4 linked regions of the Arabidopsis thaliana genome follow. The protein of the gene in region 1 interacts with the protein of each later gene in a pairwise test. Each region holds a gene or a part of one and is shown in the gene's direction. Other genes may lie near its edges.

The links.
Region 2: the proteins of AT5G05820 (region 1) and TH7 interact in a protein complementation assay, tested with the Arabidopsis thaliana proteins (one large-scale study listed by BioGRID).
Region 3: the proteins of AT5G05820 (region 1) and FAO3 interact in a protein complementation assay, tested with the Arabidopsis thaliana proteins (one large-scale study listed by BioGRID).
Region 4: the proteins of AT5G05820 (region 1) and ARL interact in a protein complementation assay, tested with the Arabidopsis thaliana proteins (one large-scale study listed by BioGRID).

Annotation. Positions count from the first base shown.
Region 1 is NC_003076.8:1,750,343-1,756,516, reverse strand, and holds AT5G05820 (Nucleotide-sugar transporter family protein), read left to right. Parts: upstream 1-2,155; 5' UTR 2,156-2,659; coding exon 2,660-3,106; intron 3,107-3,518; coding exon 3,519-3,622; intron 3,623-3,730; coding exon 3,731-3,959; intron 3,960-4,261; coding exon 4,262-4,411; 3' UTR 4,412-4,831; downstream 4,832-6,174. Other genes in the region: AT5G05830 (RING/FYVE/PHD zinc finger superfamily protein), read right to left, coding at 234-607.
Region 2 is NC_003070.9:21,951,196-21,955,432, reverse strand, and holds TH7 (thioredoxin H-type 7), read left to right. Parts: upstream 1-1,952; 5' UTR 1,953-2,040; coding exon 2,041-2,175; intron 2,176-2,338; coding exon 2,339-2,461; intron 2,462-2,542; coding exon 2,543-2,674; 3' UTR 2,675-2,836; downstream 2,837-4,237. Other genes in the region: AT1G59725 (DNAJ heat shock family protein), read right to left, coding at 3,223-3,664, 4,142-4,237. UniProt on the Arabidopsis thaliana protein: Probable thiol-disulfide oxidoreductase that may be involved in the redox regulation of a number of cytosolic enzymes.
Region 3 is NC_003074.8:8,380,433-8,387,252, forward strand, and holds FAO3 (fatty alcohol oxidase 3), read left to right. Parts: upstream 1-2,239; 5' UTR 2,240-2,427; coding exon 2,428-2,637; intron 2,638-2,898; exon of another isoform or gene 2,899-2,978; coding exon of another isoform or gene 2,979-2,984; coding exon 2,985-3,257; intron 3,258-3,834; coding exon 3,835-5,592; 3' UTR 5,593-5,749; downstream 5,750-6,820. Other genes in the region: AT3G23420 (F-box and associated interaction domains-containing protein), read right to left, coding at 5,841-5,870, 5,914-6,198, 6,350-6,820. UniProt on the Arabidopsis thaliana protein: Long-chain fatty alcohol oxidase involved in the omega-oxidation pathway of lipid degradation.
Region 4 is NC_003071.7:18,234,383-18,239,070, forward strand, and holds ARL (ARGOS-like protein), read left to right. Parts: upstream 1-2,406; 5' UTR 2,407-2,954; intron 2,955-3,052; 5' UTR 3,053-3,343; coding exon 3,344-3,751; 3' UTR 3,752-3,791; downstream 3,792-4,688. Other genes in the region: AT2G44090 (Ankyrin repeat family protein), read right to left, coding at 4,300-4,688. UniProt on the Arabidopsis thaliana protein: Promotes cell expansion-dependent organ growth, probably via a brassinosteroids signaling pathway. Acts downstream of BRI1.

The DNA of each region.
Region 1 (6,174 bases):
CTGACAACAAATGGCCTCAAAACTGAAACTTCTCAAAAAGACAGTCAAAAGAAAGCTGTTCAATAACCAAAAGTGACAATAACCTAAAGAAAGTAAAAAACTTTCCTACATCAATGGAAATGTTAGTCATTTAGCCTTTCCTAAACTATCTTAAAGCTTAGATTTTTACGTACTCCTAATGGAAGTAACCACCAAACAACCATTCTCAAGAAATATGGAGATTTTGAACTTACTTGTTTCCTTTGATCTTGAACCAAGTCTCAGCACAGTGTTTATGAGCAGCAGCGAGATCAGCTTTACAAGAACAGCCAAGCTCAATGGGAACACCAGATTCAAGATTCGCTGCATCTAAGCTCATGTGACAAATCCTGCAATCTCTCTCAGATTGCGACAAATGTACAACTTTCTCAGGCAATCCAAGCTCCAGATCTATTTCCACCGAACACACCGACGCATTGGATCTCCTCTCCTCATCTTTCACTATTTCTTCCTCCTTCTCCACCGCACCGGAGCTCCGACGAGGCTCTCCATCGCCATCACAGCCACTTGAGCTATTGATTACTTTAACAGAGACAAAGGTCTCGAGATGTGGCTGTACGGATTCCATATTCGTATAGACCCGGATGACGAATCCTCATATAAATTATGAAAACGAGACTTGTGAAGATGATGAATGATGATGATCAATGCTTTGCAGCGCAGAGAGAGAGAGAAAAAAAGAGATTTCTGGTTGAAACTTTACAGTAAAATTACATGATTGCCACTGGGTTTTGGAGTTAAGTGATCGTCAGATTCTCAGACAAAACTATTAACTCTCTCCTCTCACTTGTTCACCTGGACACCTAGACAGACCCACCTCTAATAAATCTACTATTTTTTGGATCATTACTGTCAATTTAATTTTTTGGATATGAATACCTAACCTAATTGATGTATTTCTATTATATTTTGGGTTATTTAAGCAACTTTTAGTCTTTTTTTTTTTTGGGAACAAAAAGCAACTTTTACTTTCTTATTTACTTCACAAAAACTTCTAGTGATTTCATGACTATTTTAGGTTATTCAACATAAATTAATGTAAATTATAATTTTTTTTGTAAAGTTAGCTCATTATATATAAATAAATTATAAGTTCTAGAAAATGCAATATCATGATTAAGAAAATCTTCATGATGAATTCGTCTAACATAAATTTCCTAACAATTTTCTACTCAATGTTTATAATCATCTTTATAGTATTAATATCTTTGATAGGCTGTGAAACTCTACAACATGATGGAAAAGTATTTCCAATGAAAGGTCCTCTTACTAGGGTTGTGATTTATAATGACAATGATTATCTTTTAGGAGTTCATTGTAAATCAAGAGATGATGATCATGGCTTCCATATTCTACAAAAAGGTGGATTATATGGTTGGATGTTTTACGTGAATTTTATGAATTCGACACTCTACTTCTGTGGATTTAGCCAAGAACAAGTAAAAAAAGGTGTGTTCGATATTTATAAAGCGGTTAGAGATTCTTCTAGATGTAGAAATTGTACTTGGGAAGCAAAGGAAGATGGTATTTATGGATATGGCGAGATTCCTAAGAAAAATCCTTTGTTTTATAAGTGGCTAATGTAATGTGAAATTGAGTGGTTATAAAATCAAATTTGAATCTAAATGATTCATATGCAAATTTCATTGTTATTTATACGAGTTGTAATTCATCTTCACAAGTTGTAACGGCTAATAACATCAAGCCCAAATGCAGATGATCCTACCATTGTTTTGACTTAAGAATCGAGCATCGATTCTAAACTATTGTATATTACATAATTTCCCTTTGCTACACCACTAATAAAGCTTTTATTGGTCTTCTACCACTAGACTTAACACCCACTTTGTCAAAAACGTTTGCTAAATTTATTCAACTTCATCATAATTCTGCCAAACTTCTGCTACTTAGATAAGCTTTTCTCTGAATAGTTCGTATTTTTAGAAAAATTAATGTAAAATCGATTGCCTAACTAACCAAACGCTTTGTTAATTACAATTAGATTCGTGGTCGATTTACTTAGTCAATTAAATATGCTCAGAACTGAAATGTTTCGTTAGCTAGGAATTTTCAAGGATTAGTATATGAACGTAAATCATTAAATTTAGAACTCAGATTCGGTAATAACCAATAACAAAGTCAATGGCTCCTTTCCTTCATTGTTACACATCTTCACACTTTGATTTTTCAAGTAACCAAACAAAAAAAACTTTAGCCCAAAGAAACATTACATAACGCACCAATTATAATATCATGAAACTGAAAGAAAAAATAAATTAGTTAAAAAAGGAAAGAGAAGTGTTGTTGCAGCTTTAGCCCAAAGATCTCTCCTTTTTGCAGAGCTTCTTCTTCTTCTTCTCCAAAAATCCCAACTTTCTTCTCTTTCCCGGTTTCTTCGTCTCCAGCATTTTCGCGTGTTGTAACCTAATCCAAATCTTACCCATTGATGGAATAACATCATCACGACGCGTCAAAATTCTGTATCGGAGGACCGAGAGATCTCCATCTCCTGTCCAGATTCGATTCCCACCAATCCCAATTTCGTGAAATTCGTTAGGGTTTTAGTTTGAATCTCATCTCATCAGATCGAGTCGACCCAGGATTAGGAAGAAGAAAAGCGATGAAGATGGCGACGAATGGCCGGTTTTTCACAATCGGGCTAGTCGCGTCTTGGTACTCATCGAACATTGGTGTATTGTTGCTGAACAAGTACTTGCTTAGCAATTACGGATTCAAGTACCCGATCTTTCTCACCATGTGTCACATGACGGCTTGTTCGTTACTCAGCTACGTCGCCATTGCTTGGTTGAAGATGGTTCCGATGCAGACGATTCGATCCAGAGTTCAGTTCTTTAAGATCGCAGCTCTAAGTCTCGTTTTTTGTGTGTCGGTGGTCTTTGGTAACATCTCTCTCCGCTTTCTTCCTGTTTCGTTTAACCAAGCCATTGGTGCTACGACGCCGTTTTTCACCGCCGTGTTTGCTTACCTGATGACGCGTAAGAAAGAGGCTTGGTTGACTTACTTCACTCTCGTCCCTGTCGTCACCGGAGTTGTTATTGCTAGTGGGGTATTTTCACTTCTTTTGACCTCTTAAATTTGAATCCCTTATGTATGCTTTTGGATGAGTTGTTAGAGAGGTTGATGTAGATGTGATGTAGGAGCAATGAACTAGATATGTTGGGAACATAGGTATGGTTCTGGAGCAATGAACGTGATATCGTTGATTCAGTTTCATGTTTGGCCAATGATGCTAGCTTTTATCTTTGTGACAAGCTCAGACATTGTTGAATTATGCTTCACATGAGAAAATTTGGTATTGTTTTGTGCTTGTATTCGCTAGATTTTGTGTTTCTCTCATCTTCTCTTAACCATGTGAACTTTATGCTAAAAAAGTTCGAGTAATGGAGATTTTGTTCTGTTTGTGTGTGTGATGTGTTTGATTCTATGCTTGATATTCTTTAATTTATGGGTGTTGTCAGGGTGAGCCAAGCTTTCACCTGTTTGGATTCCTTATGTGCATTGCAGCAACAGCTGCGAGAGCACTTAAATCAGTGCTTCAAGGAATTTTGCTTTCTTCTGAAGGGTAAGAAATGGCTGGTATTGTTGTAGTCGCCTTGTTAGAGGTCTATATATCAATAGTTCAAGTATTTATATGAGTGTTGCTTAAAAGATTCTAAATATTGTATTGAAGGGAAAAGCTGAACTCCATGAATCTCCTCCTTTACATGGCTCCAATAGCTGTCGTGCTCCTTCTGCCTGCTACTCTTATCATGGAGAAAAATGTTGTCGGCATTACAATTGCACTTGCAAGAGATGATTTCAGAATCGTTTGGTATCTTCTATTCAATTCAGCGCTCGCCTATTTAGTCAACTTGACAAATTTCTTAGTCACAAACCACACTAGCGCCCTGACTTTACAGGTGATTACAGTTCACATTCCTTTTACATTCTTAGTGGCATCATTGTTTATGGTAGAAAAAATGATACGGGTTTTGGTTGGAGTTGAAAGAAAGTTAGTCCAAGGAAGTGTAGAACTAGTGAGAAACGATTATCTGCTTGGTCCTCCTGTTAGTGAGATCCTGTCATTTGTATTGGATGTTGAGTTGGGTTTGCTTTTTTTATGTGTATGATAATGCTTGATGTTCCCTGCGTTTCAAAACGAACTTTTGAGATATGATTCACATAAACTCATAAAACGTCGTTTTGGATCGCTCTGTGATAGGTGCTAGGAAACGCCAAAGGAGCAGTAGCAGTGGTGGTCTCTATTCTAATCTTCAAGAATCCGGTGTCAGTGACCGGAATGCTGGGTTACTCCCTCACCGTCTGTGGAGTTATCCTGTACAGCGAAGCCAAGAAACGAAACAAAAATTAGAACACTAAACACACACAAAGCTTTTACTTCTTCTTCATCATTCCCCCCTATATATATGTTTTATATTTTCTCCCCTATGGATATACAGGCAAGTAGTCTCTTTTGCTGGGCCAAACTGACTCTTGTCTTAATGAAAAGCTGGGCCAAAAACATCTCTTTTTTTTGGCAGAAACAGAGAAGCAAAGCCACACAAAGATTGATTACCAAAGGCAAGAATTTAGAGAACTTCCTCCTATGAATAAGTAACCTTTTTGTTTTTCATTTTTGTTCTTTCTTCTCGGATTCTCTTGCCTTTCCTCTGTAGGTTGTTTGTTGAATTAGGTTTGTTTCTTCGATTCTTTACATTTTAGTTTTGTGATGTCAACATTTTACAACAACACGGATTGATTCATTTAATCGAAAGAGAGAAAGTTCCTTCTATCTTCTTCTTAAAATCCATTTTCTCAATGTTTATCTGAGAATTCAATTCAATATTAAGCTATCTCAAGGTTCCTGAGTTGTTCAGATCAAATAGCTGTGTAGTGGCAGAGCAGAGAATCAGAATAGGAAGTGATAACAGTTTGCAGAAGAAATATCTAAAAGAGAGAAAGGAGACAAGAGAGTTATTTTTACTTATGAAGAAGACATAGTCTTGTCTTTGTCTATAGTCTTTGTCTTGTCAAATCACTCGCTTCATTTTCTTTATCTGGTAACGGCAGCCATTATCATATCAAGCCGTAGATCCGGATTCACTGCAGCATATCTCACTTTCATGAATCTAATCCACACATTACCAAGTAGGCCATTCCAAATATATGTCGTAAATTTTCAGGATTGTTTGACCCAAAATGTGTAAAGAACACACTCTATGTAGTGTTTTTAAACCTCCTTGCTAAAACATGGTTTCTTCGAAGCATGAGTGTGATGGAGAAAGACTCCACGTAGTCATGGTACCAAAACTTGTAATGTGACAATAATATTAACTCTCTCGACAGGGAAAAGAAAAAAAAAGCAAGAGTAAAATTTTCAGGAGATAGAGAGAGGAAAAAGCCAAAATGGGGTCGGAGAGAGATATAGGAGTAAATTGGTTAATATAATAGACTTACAAGTCAGACAAAAAAGCTGAAAAGAAACCAAAAAAGGCTTGATTAAGCTTGGAGACTGTGACAGTTGAGTTTTTGAGTGTCTAGAAACTCTTTCAAGTACTCGAGTGGGCTTTTCATGAAGAAGCTAAGGAACAAGAATTGCGAAAAGTAATAGAGATTGAAAAAGGGAGGACGATAATGATGAGGACCATGTACACACACGTATCAACTCTTTTTATCCCAAGGACTCTCATTCTATGAACCAATGGATTCACTCGACACTTTCCATGATTTTTTTCATGCAAAGATTGTTACCATTTTGATTAAATTTAAATTTCTAATTTTGGAGATATTAACTTTTCTTTATCATGTCTAATTTTTGTCTGAAAACATCTGTAGTTTAATTAGTACCTAAGGATTATTTGAGGAAACATAGTTAAAGAAATTAAGAAACTATAAAACAAATTTTTTTTTCTTACTTTACTTGTCAGATAATATATCTTGCATATCTAGTGACTCTGCAGCTCTAAACTCTGCTAACTTCAAAGATTCTATCGTGGGCCACTTTTTCTTGAGCTCTGATTTTGTCAGTAATTTTGGATTTCATATACAGTCTGTTTAGAAATCATTTATTTTCTTTCTTTCCCAAGAGTTGCTATGCCCATATTCTTATGCAACTCCATTCTTTCAGTTCTCCTA
Region 2 (4,237 bases), on another chromosome or scaffold:
ACTTCCTTGCTTAGACTTCTCGTGGCGGCCACATCTTGTTTTTATCATAAGATGGTCATTTAGCTAAGAAGGTTTGTGATTCAAATCACCGTATATTTCAAGGAAAAAGCACTTGCACTTGTATTTAAGAATCGTTTCTTCTGCTCTTGTATCTTTTTCACACTTTCTGTTTGCAAAAATATAACTAACTTTATTGAACTATTATACAGAACTATTTTATAAGTAACTGTAATATATTGCTTAGTAGCAGAAAAGTAAATACAGAGGTATTGAACTAATTGTGTTACTCTTCCTACATAAATTAAAAAGAGAGAAAATCAACAATATAAAATTGTATGGATACGATTTCATGGAATAAAATTCTTTAGATTGTGGAAAAACTTATATTAGAATCTTTATAGATCGAGCTAGGAATAAAGAAATATGTGGGTAGCAGAACTCATGCAACCTTTAAGAAAGTCATGTGTAATATTATCGATAAATTATGATTAAAAAATGAATAAATTCAAAGGCAAAATCTAAATTAAAAACGATTTTCTACACATGTTTAAATATCTAAACGTGATTAGTTTACTTTATGAATTACCAGTACAATAAATATTTGAGAATTCTTTTAAGTCTTAAACTACACAATTCCAAAATTCCAAATACAGTAAAAGTAAGGGAAAGAAAGTCTTAGGAAGGGTACTTACAAATTTAAGAAGTATTCCTTAATGTTTTCAGTTTTCTAAAAAACTTGTTGTATTTCTTTGATAACGCCTTCATATATATATATATATAATATATATATATGCATATTTTGATCCCAACATATATATATTTAATGTTTTATAAAGCATACTTTGATGCAACATTTCTACAAGTTTTTTTTAGTTCTTATAAAACAGTGGTGTTTCAATTTTATTAGAAATCAGACCAAAAAATGGTTTCAAATTAATATTTGCAAATCGAGATCTTAAACCCCAACAATATGTTCTAAAATTTAAGATATTCGAGCATCACCGAACTGTATTTTTGAATCAGCATTCCTAGTTCCTTGAGAATGAGAATTATAAGAGGATGATGTGAAAGTTTATGGGCAAAAAGTTAAAGATGATGTTCGTGGCTACGACGTGCATTTCTTGTCCCCCAGTATCGAATAAATTGTTAATTTCAAACTCATTTTCGACAATGATTCCTATAAGTACTGAAATGGAATAAGAAGGACCTTGAGGAAGAATTTGATGACAGCTTCTTTTTAACACAAATCAATATTCTTACACACGGACACACCAAACAACATTACAAATTTACAATGACATGCATGGTCATTTTGCAAATTTTTTTCTCGTTTTATTCTAATCTAATTTCGTTCTGTAAAGTTTTATGTAAATGTAAATTAAAGATTTCAGTAAAGACATAAGAGTATCACCATCAATTAGGAAAAAAATAAAAATGAGTTCTCATTAGAAACTCTCCTGCCATGTGACATTTTTATTTTTATAGTAATTAATAGCATTAATATTATATAGGTATTAGATCCTTGAAGTGGATGGTGCATATATTATTTAAACAAAACAAATTTTAACTACTTTTAATTTATAGCGTTGACAATAACTAATTAATCTAAACTAATAAATCAAGTACCTAGGCTACCATTTTTTAATTAGAAAATCGATCCGCCGCGGATTGTTATCCACCCACAAAAATAAAAAATTCGTTTGCAAATGTGATAGGCAAGCTAGTTCCTTGCAACCAGCTATATTTTTATGTAGTGGAGAATATTTAACAACTAACTGGAATTTTAAAAACACAAAGCGAAACTAAATTGGTATAAGCTATATATTCTTGAAAAAATAAAAAAATCAACGGCTAGAACTAAAGAAGGATAGCAAATTGAATCATATTCCTTTGCATTTACTTATTTATTTATAACCAACAAATTAAGTTCTCCGATTAAAAGCTATATAATGCTCCTCCTTGTCTCTCTTCTTTGCATATCAGTATATCACTAGCAAATAAGTGAACACCATTTCTTCATACATACACATTCCGAAGATAATGGGTTCCAATGTTTCATCTGTGCATGATGTTCATTCATCAATGGAAATTACCAGTAATGGATTTGTTGTGGAAATCGAATCAAGAAGACAATGGAAATCTCTCTTTGATTCCATGAAAGGCTCAAACAAATTGGTATACATTACTCGAAAACTACCTAAAACGTATTAAATTTTTTTAACCAAACTTATAATGTTTGTTTTAAATCTTATACTATTTGTGTTTTCTAATTTTGTTTACAAGTAAATGACATGTTTTTTCTCTTAAACTAACTGAAAAAATTATTGTGGTTTTGAAGCTAGTAATTGATTTCACAGCTGTATGGTGTGGACCTTGTAAAGCAATGGAACCTAGAGTTAGGGAGATTGCTTCAAAGTACTCAGAAGCTGTGTTTGCTAGGGTTGATGTGGATAGGCTAATGGTAATTACTCTTTTTTTTTATTACTTGAAGAAGAATCATCTTATGGTTTCAAGACTAAGCTATAATTGGTATGTATTCCAGGATGTGGCTGGGACATATAGAGCTATTACACTTCCAGCTTTTGTTTTTGTGAAGAGAGGAGAAGAGATTGATAGGGTTGTTGGAGCCAAACCTGATGAGCTCGTGAAGAAGATTGAACAACATAGGGTTTAAGTTTTTTCTTTTCCCTTACAAAAAAATGATTATTATACTTTTGAATGTCTGTTCTGAATTGATTGTTTGAAGTTGGGTTTCTGGTTTGTTGTTTAATTTCTCAAAACAATATAAATAATAATGTCAAAAATGAAAACAATTAACAAAAATGTTGTAGTTATATTTGTATGAAATCTAATCACCCCAACGTAAGCAAAACAACATAACAATGGTAATGTGAGTATGGCGACTAAAAGAACTATACCATAAAAAAAAAAAAAAAAGAGTCCCATTCCAAGTATATGTTAAAATACTAAATGGAAAAAAACAAACGTTACATAACATTTTCGAAGAGCTTGTATGAAGTTGAGAGTTACATATATAACTTATGAAAGCAGAATAAATTAGATAACAACAAAGATAGCTTTTACAACAAAAAACAATCAATTCTGCTTACTATTTCGTGATCAAGATATGAGATCAAAAACGAAAACCGATCAATTCTGTATATGTATGTACACTGAATTGACCTTTTGAATTCAAGAGCTTTCTTGAAACTAGTTGCCAATTCAGCTACCACCAAGAACTCTCTTGAGATCTGTCTTCTGTTCCGATGTTAGCCTCGAGGGGAAACATATCTCAAAGTTGATTCTTAGATCTCCTCTCTTTGAACCTTCTTTAGAGATGGGCATTCCTTCACTAGGAATCACTATCTCCTGACCCGGTTTAACGATATCCAAAACCGGGATAGTCAGATTCCTCCCGTCTAGTGTTGTTAAGCTAAGAGTGATCCCTGTTAAAGCCTCCAAAAGCGAAACTTTCTTGTCTACAATAAGATCGTTACCGTCTCTTTTGTAAACCGAATGCGGTTTCTCATCTATAACAAAGATGAGATCTGCGGGAGTAACACCGGGTTCTTGGTTTCCTTTCTCTGGAAAAGTTATCTTAGTTCCTTTCTTCCATCCTGGTGTTATATCTATCTTCAAGATCTCTTCCACTGGCTTTGACTTTCTGATATCAAAACATGAATATATATTGATCACAACCAAAAAAGCAACTAGGCTTAGAAAAATCAAACGTAGCAACAAGAAAATAATTAGGTACATCAATCATCAAACAATATCAACATCACTAGAGATAAAAACGCAATTAAACAAAGGAAAATTGTCAAAAAAACAAAAAAAAAAACCAATAATAACAACAACATTAAACAGAGAAAAATAAAGAAAACTTATCAAAGAAAAATGTCAAAAACACAACAATTTGGATAATTGTTTCGTCTTGATTACAAAATTTTACCATCAAGATAAATCACAAAAACAGAGCATATATACAGAGGATTATCCATTGACTCATACAAGAAACCACAAAATAATTGGTCAACACTTTTCCAAATATAATTTACGTAATCACGAACTACTAATATAACGAACGAAACTGAATGAAAAAAGGCGATTTCATTTAGATCATGTGTTATGAAATACTAACCCAAGACCATCAGGAACAACGCGGGAAATCTTCATCTTCCTCCTCCCACCTTTATACAACTCCTCAAGAGTACAAGCCAATTTACTCTCAATCGCC
Region 3 (6,820 bases), on another chromosome or scaffold:
AGATTTTGTTGCTGATGCCTCGGCTAGCTTGAAAATGTTTTATGGATTTTACGCAAACACGTCATTTTGACAGTGTTTTAGAGATTTGTTTTTGTCTACAACTAATATATAATTAAGCTTTGGAGCCATTGAAAATATTTGGTCGATAAATAATAATCACAAAGTGTACCTCAATCATAGAAATGGAATGCTATGGTCCATATAACTTGAAATATTGTAGTCATAAAATTACGATATCACCTAACGGAAAATAGTCTTAACATTTGAACATAACATGTGTTCAGAGAAGTTATAAATAAGTGTTCAGAGAAGTGATTTTTTATTTCTAAGTTATAAATAAGTGTGAAAAAGTAACTTATGACTAAAAAATATTTTGTGAACTTTTTAATATTATTATTTTTGCAAAACAACGCACTATATATGTACCTCGTACACTCTAATTAGCTCATCCACCACGGTAAAATTTATTTATTATTTTGCATTTTTTATTTGGTTAAGCTGAAACATATCATTATCACCAAGCAATTATATATGTACCGATAACCCATGCTGAGGAAATTTTCTAACCAAACCTTTGGGATCAGAATATATATTAGTAAATAATCATACTTTAACTTAGATTACACTAAAAACTAGTTATCGTTTTAGAGTTTTTTTTGTCTGACGAGATCTCGGATGCTTCGATTACACCTGACTTGTTAGATGGGATGCATGACCACATTTTGGCTAACATGGCGTGCAAACGATGACGTGGAGGCAACTGATTGGCTCCACTGATTCCCACAAATTTGTTGCAAAATCAAAAGTAGGGCCAGACTAATTATATTATTTTTTTGTGGATGTCTATAATATGAAATTTGAATCAATACGTAATTTATCGATTCTTTGTCTAATCGATGTCAACTAAATTTAACAAATTATCTGGAAGTCACTCAACATTTTCCTTGATAATGCTAGTTTCTTCGAATCTTAAATGAGGCAACGCATTGTCCATTGAAATTTTAAGCATATAGTGTATATATGTATTTATTTTTCTAGCAAATTCAAAACGGCCTGGGATCGTTTGGTTTGTAATCAATATATGGGTTTTTTTTGGTCAACAATCAATAATTAGTATTTTTGAGAATTCATGAAATACTGGATGAGTAAATGAGATAATTTTTATGGATGATCACTAGCACATGGTTGCTAACCAGTGAAGCACCTAAAAAATCACTGCAAAAAAGTTTGTAATCAATTTCGTTGCAGCTAAGCAACATTTATGACTAATTTGAGTAAATATTAATTGACGATCCCATGAATTTCACCTAATTGACGAGTCCCTAGATTTGTTTTAGAGTAAATTTTACAACTTCATATACTTTACATTATAATTAACAAACTAAAAAACTCGTAAACCAAATAAGACTTTGTCTAATGGTCCAAGCATGACCTCTCCAAAGATATAATATGTTTTGATATATACGTGATAACCGATCAGATGTTGTATATACATATTAATGTGTATTAATTTCTTCATATAATATTTACAAATTTTTGTGAGAAGATATCAAGTACACGTATATCGAATAAGAAAAGCTAGATTGTGTAAAACGTTACGGGGCTTGTGCATTAACTCACAAGTTGGCTATCACAAGTTTCAAATTGTGGTGTTTAGAGCATCGCAGTTGTCAAACAAAAAAAAAAAAAAAAAAAGAAAGAGTATCACACGTGATTGTTTTCCATAACTATGAGAACTTTTCTGACTATTTTCTTCTTTTGTGCCTTTGTTATGTTTCTTCAATCATTACTTAATTATTAATTACTAATCGATTTTCGTTGCCTGTAGTTTTCACATGTTGTAATCTAGAAAACTGAAAAAGACTTTCCCCATAATAGTCTCTGCTAACTACATACTAGTCCCTATATTTTGCAATTTTAAGTGTTTTTAACCACTATCTTAGAGACTCTAAACATGAGGACCCTAAAAAATAACCATCATCTTAAATTGTACGTAAGAAATATATTCAATCTACATCAGATGATACCAATAAAATTCGGCATATAAGTAGAATTTGAAAGAAACAACAACGTGGGTAGATATGCACCATTTACAACAACAAAAAAGAAAAATCAATTTTGGTCCAACTTTTTCATATACATTTAAATTGTCAATTATCATCATAATTAGTAATACGACAAACTGTCGTATAAACTAGAAAAATACATACATCTACTATCTAAAACGACAGATAAAAATACGTAATCATCAAAAAGAGTTAAAAACAAGTTTTGGGGTTCTCTTAGCAATTTTGTTTTATATGTCTATTTTTATGTAACGCGACAGCTGTAACGTTGTGTCTATATATATACTAACAGAGTTTGTGCTTCGAAATCTTAAGAACTTTCCCAGTTTTGTTTTTTAATCATATCAAAGCAAACTGTGTGATGGATAAGTACAAAGTCGCCGGAAAATTTGGTCTCCCGGACATCACGGTGGCAGAGATGGAATCTTTAGCTAGCTTTTGTGAAGCTGTCTTGCCTTCAGTGCAGCCACCGCCGGAAGAGCTTTCCGGTGAAGGTGATAACCATCGGAACAAAGAGGCTCTCCGGTCATTTTACTCAACTTCTGGGTCTAAAACTCCTGTCCTTCGCCAGGTTCACACACTTTTTCTTTATATTCATCAAATGATCTGTTTTTTTAACAAAATGCTAAAGTTTTGACACTTTCAAACAAAAAAACACAAATCAAGAACGTGTGATATTTGAAGATTTGTTTTGATTTGTTCGATTAGTTAAAAGGATTCGTATTGATCGAGTTCCAATAAAATCCTTGTGGTTCTCTTTTGACTTCTATAGACCTTTTAAATGACAAAAATATCTAGCTCTTTTTGTTTTTTTAACGTGAATATTATTAGTCTAGGTTTCGGTCTAAAATTAATTGCGGTTATTAAAAAGACCTTAAGGTTTTGAGTAAAAAGTGAAAGATTTGTTAATGGATGCAGAGCATTGAGCTGGTCACGAAACGAGGGACAATAGAAGCTTATATTGCTACTAGGCTTATATTGTTCTTGCTTGCTACTCGGCTTGGGACGCTTCTCATTTGTGGAACCGAGTGTTTGGTCTCAAGATGGCCTTTTGTCGAGAAATTTAGTGAGCTCTCGTTGGAGAAGAGAGAAAGAGTACTTCAGAAACAATTCAAGAATTGGATTCTGACTCCAATTAGAGCTGCTTTTGTCTACATCAAAGTTGCATTCCTCTTCTGTTTCTTCTCCCGGGTATGTCTCAAATTCTCTCTGTTTTCTCCAAACCTTATCTCAACCACATAGATTATGTTGTTCTGTCCGGATAAAACAGTCTAGTACAAATCCAAATAATCGAAAACAGAATCGCATGGTTTAAATTCATTTACTTTCTATATAATCCAAAAATTGATTACAAATAGAGCCAAAAAAAACTAGAAAACGTATCAGTTTTATTGTTTTCTAAATTAATGATGATCTCTAAGGAAAAAATCATCCAAATTCATATATACTAAAATTAGAAAATCTTAAACCTGAAACCGTACGTAACGTATTCATATGAGATTTGTTTATAACTAAAATTTACTATTTTACTATACATAAACAATTTGATCCCATTATTAAAAACTTTGATCTTAAATGAGTACCAAGCGATTTAACTAGATCATTTTCTGATTTGGTTACAATAAACCGATCCAAAATTTTGAGAATCGTGAACTAAACCAAAATCCGGATTCAGAGCCTATATTATATATGTTAACTCTGTCGTAAAAACAGAGCTACTTATAGAAAATGTTCAAGAATTTATGGATATGTCGTTTCTTTTGTGTAGGTGAATCCAAATGGCGAAAACCCGGCATGGGAAGCCATAGGGTATCGTGTTAACCCCGATGAGAACAAACCTTCTGAAACTCATAACGAAAGACCACTTGAGAAAGGGATAGTGGAGACGATGGAAGAAACAGAGCAGACTCTTCTTGAATCACTTGCTCATAAAGGCCTAGAAGCGGTTCTTGACACGGAGCATGATGCGATCAGAATAAAATGTGATGTTGTGGTCGTCGGGTCTGGTTCAGGAGGAGGCGTAGCAGCTTCTGTTCTAGCGAAATCTGGTTTAAAAGTGGTTGTTCTTGAAAAAGGAAGCTACTTTACGCCTTCTGAACATCGTCCTTTCGAAGGTCCTGGCTTGGATAAACTCTACGAGAATGGAGGGATTCTCCCGAGTGTTGATGGGAGTTTTATGGTGTTGGCTGGAGCAACTGTAGGTGGTGGATCTGCTGTGAACTGGTCTGCGTGTATCAAAACCCCGAAGTCGGTTCTTCAAGAATGGTCAGAGGATCAAAATATACCTCTTTTCGGTACTAAAGAATATCTAACGGCTATGGAAGTTGTGTGGAAGAGGATGGGTGTCACGGAGAAATGTGAACTGGAGAGTTTTCAGAATCAGATTCTGAGAAAAGGTTGCGAAAATCTCGGGTTCAATGTTGAAAACGTGCCAAGAAACTCCTCGGAGAGTCATTACTGTGGATCTTGCGGGTATGGATGTAGACAAGGAGACAAGAAAGGAAGTGACCGGACTTGGCTTGTCGATGCGGTGGGGCACGGTGCCGTGATTCTTACTGGATGTAAAGCGGAGAGATTCATACTCGAAAAGAACGGTAGTAACAAAGGAGGCAAGCAAATGAAATGTTTGGGAGTGATGGCTAAATCTTTAAACGGAAACATAGCAAAGATGTTAAAGATTGAAGCTAAAGTAACGGTTTCAGCAGGGGGTGCTCTTTTAACACCTCCGTTGATGATATCTAGCGGGTTGAGAAACCGAAACATCGGTAAAAACCTTCACTTACACCCTGTTTTAATGGCGTGGGGTTACTTCCCGGACAAGGAATCTTCTAACATCAGTTTCAAGGGAAATTCATATGAAGGCGGGATCATAACATCAGTGAGCAAAGTGTTATCAGAAGATTCTGAAGTCAGAGCAATCATAGAGACACCGCAACTAGGACCAGGTTCGTTCTCCGTTTTAACTCCTTGGACCTCTGGGCTTGACATGAAGAAAAGAATGGCTAGATACTCAAGAACCGCGAGTCTCATAACCATAGTTAGAGACCGCGGGTCAGGAGAAGTTAAAACCGAAGGCAGAATAAACTACACCGTGGACAAAACCGACAGAGATAATCTCAAAGCTGGGCTTAGAGAGTCGCTAAGGATACTAATAGCAGCTGGAGCAGAGGAAGTGGGAACTCACAGAAGCGACGGGCAGAGACTAATATGCAAAGGTGTCAATGAGAATTCGATCCAAGAGTTTTTAGACTCGGTGAGTACAGAGGAAGGAGCAAAGGGAATGACTGAGAAATGGAACGTTTATAGCTCAGCTCATCAGATGGGAAGCTGTAGAATTGGAGAAAATGAAAAAGAAGGTGCAATAGATTTGAATGGAGAGAGTTGGGAAGCAGAGAAGTTGTTTGTGTGCGATGCAAGTGCGTTGCCTAGTGCTGTTGGTGTTAACCCTATGATCACAGTCATGTCTACGGCTTATTGTATCTCCACAAGAATCGCTAAGTCCATGACCACTGGTTTATCTCATTGAACTAAAATAACGTATACTTTCTATTCATCCTAATCAAATTTATGTGTAACCAACATGATAATTCATAGTTAAAGACTCTTCTATTGATCATGTCTACTAATAAAATCCATGTTTTGGAAACGTTATATTTATTCATCTAATTAGAGTGTTATAAAATATTGGACTAATCAAGTTGCAGTGAACTTGGAACATAAGAGCACACAAGTGGTCGGAGATTTTGGTTTGGAGATTCTCCAAGATCCACTTCTTCAAGGATCCATCCTCTCCAACGATGTAAGCTGCATTGCACATCAACTACTTCTTTTTGCCTTTATCAAAAACCACTGCAACTTTCTTCTCCTCATCAATGAAGAAACTTGCATCACTAAACGAAAACATAGAGTAACGGCCGGTGAGTTCTCTCATATCCACTGATAAGAAGAACTTGCTGCTCCATGACACCGTGTTGGGCTCAATCTTAGTTGTAACCCAGATCTCCATCTGTAATGTATCCATACGCTGAAATAACACCGCAAGCTGCTCATCTCTAACATTAGATAATAACAGAGAACTCTTGAAGATACCACTCAAAGGGCGGCGAAGGCAAACCGCGGCCCAAATGTCTCCCTTGTGAAATCAAAACAGAGTAAGAAACTATGGTCTCCTTGTCTTGGGATTTCTGAATATGCCTCTTCAGCAAGCCAATATGTATTTCCTTTGAGAGAGGCACCAGACACAAAACGGTTATAGTAACCTATGTTCCAGTCTCGAGATTGACCCTCCATGAGTCAGAGTTAAAGTCGTAGATTTTGAACTCAGCAGAAGTGGAGGAGACATAATCAAACATCATACCAAAACTCAAGATTTTGTGGGATTTGGTACTGCTATTGTATCCGAGAGCATACGAATATGCATCTAATCTCTGAGGATTATTTGTAGTCTCGATCCACCGGGTTTGTCCACTATACGGGTTACAAACCACAAGCCTAGGGTTGTCTTTCATGATGCATAACAATAAACCGTCGCAGTGAAAGACGTGACGGACGTAAATTTGATCTGAAGCGTCGGGGAAAAGAAGTTCACGTTCACGCTTTATACACAATTCAACGTTGTTCTGAAGATTTATGCGCATCAAATAAACCCTAAAATCCATCATCATGACCACCTTATACTCTCTTTTCTTTGCAGCTACTTTTGCTTGACAAACAAGGTGCTTCTTTGCAAAGCTCCTACATCTAGATAAAGTGTT
Region 4 (4,688 bases), on another chromosome or scaffold:
GAAAGTATTTAAAAGAAAACAGAAAAAGAAAATGTATAACGTAGAAGAAAGGTGGCTTTAGATTGGAGAGTTGTACGAGGAATATTAATAAGTCAAGTTGGTCGAGATATGCATTGAATCGATGGGAACGAGCCACGTGACAACGACATGTGCCGTTTCATCCACATTACATACCTTTTGAAATTATTGCTTATTTAATTCTTCTATCAACATTTTTTTTGCTTATACTTATTTTCTTCAATATATCTCATACCACTAACAATTAATAAAGGCTAATCTTAATAGAGAAATAGAATCATTCGTTTTAATAAACTCAAGTATATGTGATGAAACTGTGGGCATATCATATAAACTTGTTATTGAGCATAATAATTCATCTTATTATGTCCTACTATGCATTATGCAATGTATATAATATGAATTTTTTGTTGAATATTGTTGCAGGTCCACTATGTTCCACTAGACATGCAATCTAAGGGAGGGTTTGCGATGTTCAAGGCAATCATGCATGGGTTGCCATTTCTATATAGCTTTCCCTTTCTACAATTTTTTTCTTTCTAATTTTCTAAAAATTAAATATACACACACTATGGATGATGGATTAACCAATAGAATCCAAGGAATTACGAGTAAAAAAAACACCCTCCTATAGTTCACCTATATCTTATATCTTTCTTGGTTTTGGCTACGAATTGAAATCTTTTTCTGATTTGGATAAGAGATTGCGCTCTCTGTATACGTTCTTATATATATCACTATAATCAAATATGGGTTTTCTATAAATCTGTAAGGCATTATAAACATATGTATCAATATATTCTTAACTGACATTTAGATTGGTATAAGCAATGTTATTTACCTACATATTATCTATTTGTTTACATAGGAACTGGTGGCATCGATCCTAACCATAAGATCATGAATACAAAAAATCAAAGATATCGAATCAAGTACATATCCACAAGATAATTTGAATATCTTTTAAGATCGGGAAGATATCACTATGGTGTATATGCTATTTATATAACTGATCAGTTATATATAGTTGTTAAACTTTGTTCTAACAATTTAAAAGTCTGCATCATCTTTTTATTGACGTTAATTAAGTTTTGTTTTTGTTTAAAGCGGGAGGTGAAGTTTTGTTGTAATTATGTCTACTTGAGCCATTATAATTGTAGAATAGTAATGTCATTTCCATTGGGAGTTTAGCTAGTAGTTGACGAATAAAACCATTTCTCCTTTGTAAAAAAAAGTAGAAAAGACGTAATCAATAGATGTTATACATGCGATTCATTGAATTTGGATAAATAAGTATTTTGGATTGAAAAAAAAATAAAAAATGAGTAGTGGATTTTGGTAAGCTGTCAATTGGTTAATACCAGAACGGCTGAAACTAAACTGCTTGCGAAAATTATCATGTCCCTCTTAATTAAACACCCAACGAAAAGTACTTATGAATATATCCATTAGATATTTTAATTATTACATTTTTAGGCTGTTAAACAAATAAATTATATCGGTTTACCTGAAAGATAATGAATGAAAAAAAAAAAATCTTAATATATTATTTTATGTGTTTTTAAAAATAATAAGCTGTCTTGTATTTTTAACAAATAGCATTTTTAATATAGTACGATATTTAATACTATATCACTTTTTTGTTTAAATCATACTAAACAACACCTAGCCCTTTTTAAAATAAATAATAATAATAATAATAAGACCACTTATGTATCCTTTATGTATCATGTAAAATACAAAATTCCCTAATTATATAAATTTAAGTTGGCATTTCTTCTGACTATTAAAAGCATAAAACGAAAGAGAAATAAATATTGGACCAACTGTCCCACTAAAAACGATAATATGATATAGCCACCACATGAAATGCCGAGAGGAATAACAATATGGGTCATCATCGGTCGATAACACATAGACAACATTATTATTAGGTTGGAAAATTTAATTAATTCACACACATATACATATACATATTATACAGTTCTATGACAAAAAAAAAGTGATAAATGTTGAATATATTTGTCAAACTAATTTGGTAATTCACCGAATTCAATCTATTGATTATTGCTATCACTTCTCATATTCAATTTTTTGTGCGCGAGGAATTCGAATCTTTAATTAGTACGTTTCCCCGTCCATAGTTTCAATAGATTACAACTCTAAATGATTATATAAAACAAACAAAACATTATCATATAGAACAAAGATTATTTGTGATAACCTAAAATATTTATCTTATCTTTAATTATTTGTTTCTAGTATTATTAATGACTGATACTGCTTTATTTATTTCAACCAAACAACTTTGACTATAGTCTACAATAATACACGATCAACGTTATAAAAGTTTGGATTCGTTTTAATTAAAAACCACCATTGAATATTCCAAAAGAAACTGAAACCTCCATCTCAAACAGAGGCTTACCCCAAATAAATTCCATCCCACGTCATCATCAGAGAAAGTGTCTAGGGGAGAAGAACCACTGTGATTGTGGAAAGAGAGAGAGAAGTGTAAAGTAATCAAATAGAGAGATTTCAATTTTGTTCAGACCTTCCAGAATAAGCAGCAACTTGCCTCTCACACTTGTCACCCCCAAAAGAGAAAAAAAACATTAAAATTAAAATCTTATCATTTTAGAAAAATCTGTAAATTCAGTGAACCTTCCTCTGTTTCCTGTTTCTTCTCTGATTCCACAGTCTTAACCCCAAAAACATTATATTTATTTCTCTCATTATCTTTTACCATCTATTTTTATACCAATTCCTTTTATCAAAACCACTCCCACTTTATTTCTTCTTCTCTGGTTTTCTTACCAAAAGAAACTTTCTTCGTCTTCCTCTGTATTTAAGCTTTAACACCCTGTTTTTGGTTTCCAACGTTCAATCTTCATCTTCTTCTCGCTGAAGGTGTGTTTGGCTCTAACGGTTTAAAGGTACTTACTTTCGATTCTTTTGATTCATTCTCTGCTCATGTTTTTGATTGAATCACAACGATTTACTGATCAAAACTTGGACAAATTTTCTCTTGCAGCTTTCTTGAAACACCAATTGAATCTTTTCTCTCTACCGGCAAAAAAAAAAGATTAGTCCTTTTAGGTCTGGAAACGCCAAGATCACTCGTTCTAAACCTTAGATTTTGTCTGCATTTCGGGATAATCATTTCATCGTCAGGGTTCTTCAACCAAACTACATTTACAGAAGAAGAAGAAGAAGAAAAGTTCGTTACTTTTTATGCGTTTGGATAAACAAACTCAAGTTTCTTCTTCATACATCGATCTGATTTTCCAGATCAAACTTCGAAAAGAGAAAAAGCCTTCTTTAAATGATTCGTGAGTTCTCCAGTCTACAAAACGACATCATAAACATTCAAGAACATTATTCTCTCAACAACAACATGGACGTGAGAGGAGATCATAACCGGAAAAACACGAGTTTTCGTGGTTCAGCTCCAGCTCCGATTATGGGGAAGCAAGAATTGTTTCGGACATTGTCGTCGCAGAACAGTCCAAGGAGGCTAATATCAGCGAGTTACTTCAGTTTAGAATCAATGGTTGTGCTTGTTGGTCTCACAGCATCTCTCTTGATCTTACCGTTGATTCTTCCACCATTGCCTCCTCCTCCTTTTATGCTGCTTTTGATTCCTATTGGGATTATGGTTTTGCTTATGGTTCTTGCTTTCATGCCTTCTTCTAATTCCAAACATGTTTCTTCTTCTTCCACTTTTATGTAATAAACGTTTCTTTAATTGAAGAAAGAAATCCTTAAACAAAGGGAGGTTTTGTCTATTGTCATTACATAAGGTTTCAGGGTAAGAGATTAATATTTCATTTGTAAAACTTGTTTTCTTGATGCAGAATTATACAACTATTTATATAAATAAAGAATGATTAATAGTTTCATGATTTCATTTTTCTCATGGTCTGAAGCAAAACCAGGATGAGAGATTGGTACAAAATGTAAGAAATTGAAAGGCTTTCATTACAGGAGAGGAGACCAATAAGAGTCTGAGACAGAAGAAGTGAAATAATATGTAGATGAAATAATATAAAAGGCTTTGATTATCTCTCCCATGGTTTAGGATGCATAAAAGACAGATAGAGAGACTTTTGACAAAGACATTCTCATAGCAAGTTTGTACAAGTCTACAAGAACCCTTTTTCATCATCTCACAACCTGGATCAGAATCCATAACTATAGTGGAATGGTTGTTTTTCAGTTCTTATTTTATCAACTATTTAAAACGAGTTGTGTTAACTCAGATGCTGAATCCATTGTTGCTCAGTGTAAAGAAGCTTTGACCAAAAAAAGAGGAAGGTGATGCTCCAAGATGGTCATGAGCTGATGATGACCTTTCTTTACTTCTTCTGTGTCTACATCGAAGCCTTCAAGCTGTGTTGCAGCTTCCACGAGCTGTCCTCTTAGCTTTTGTGAGAGCAGCCGGCCACCCGCATCCACACACTCTCTGTACAGTGGCATGTAGGCGATTGCCACTCTCAATGGTGCTGGGAGATCCTTTAGACTTATTGCAGACTCTCCGAGTTTCAAAACTCTCATGAAATTCATGTAATTTTCCCGGCTTTCCTTCAATCCTTGGTTGAATGCAGCTTCTGACCACTGTTCTTGGAGAAACGATTTGAGGTCGGAAGGAACAGACTCGTCTTCTGACT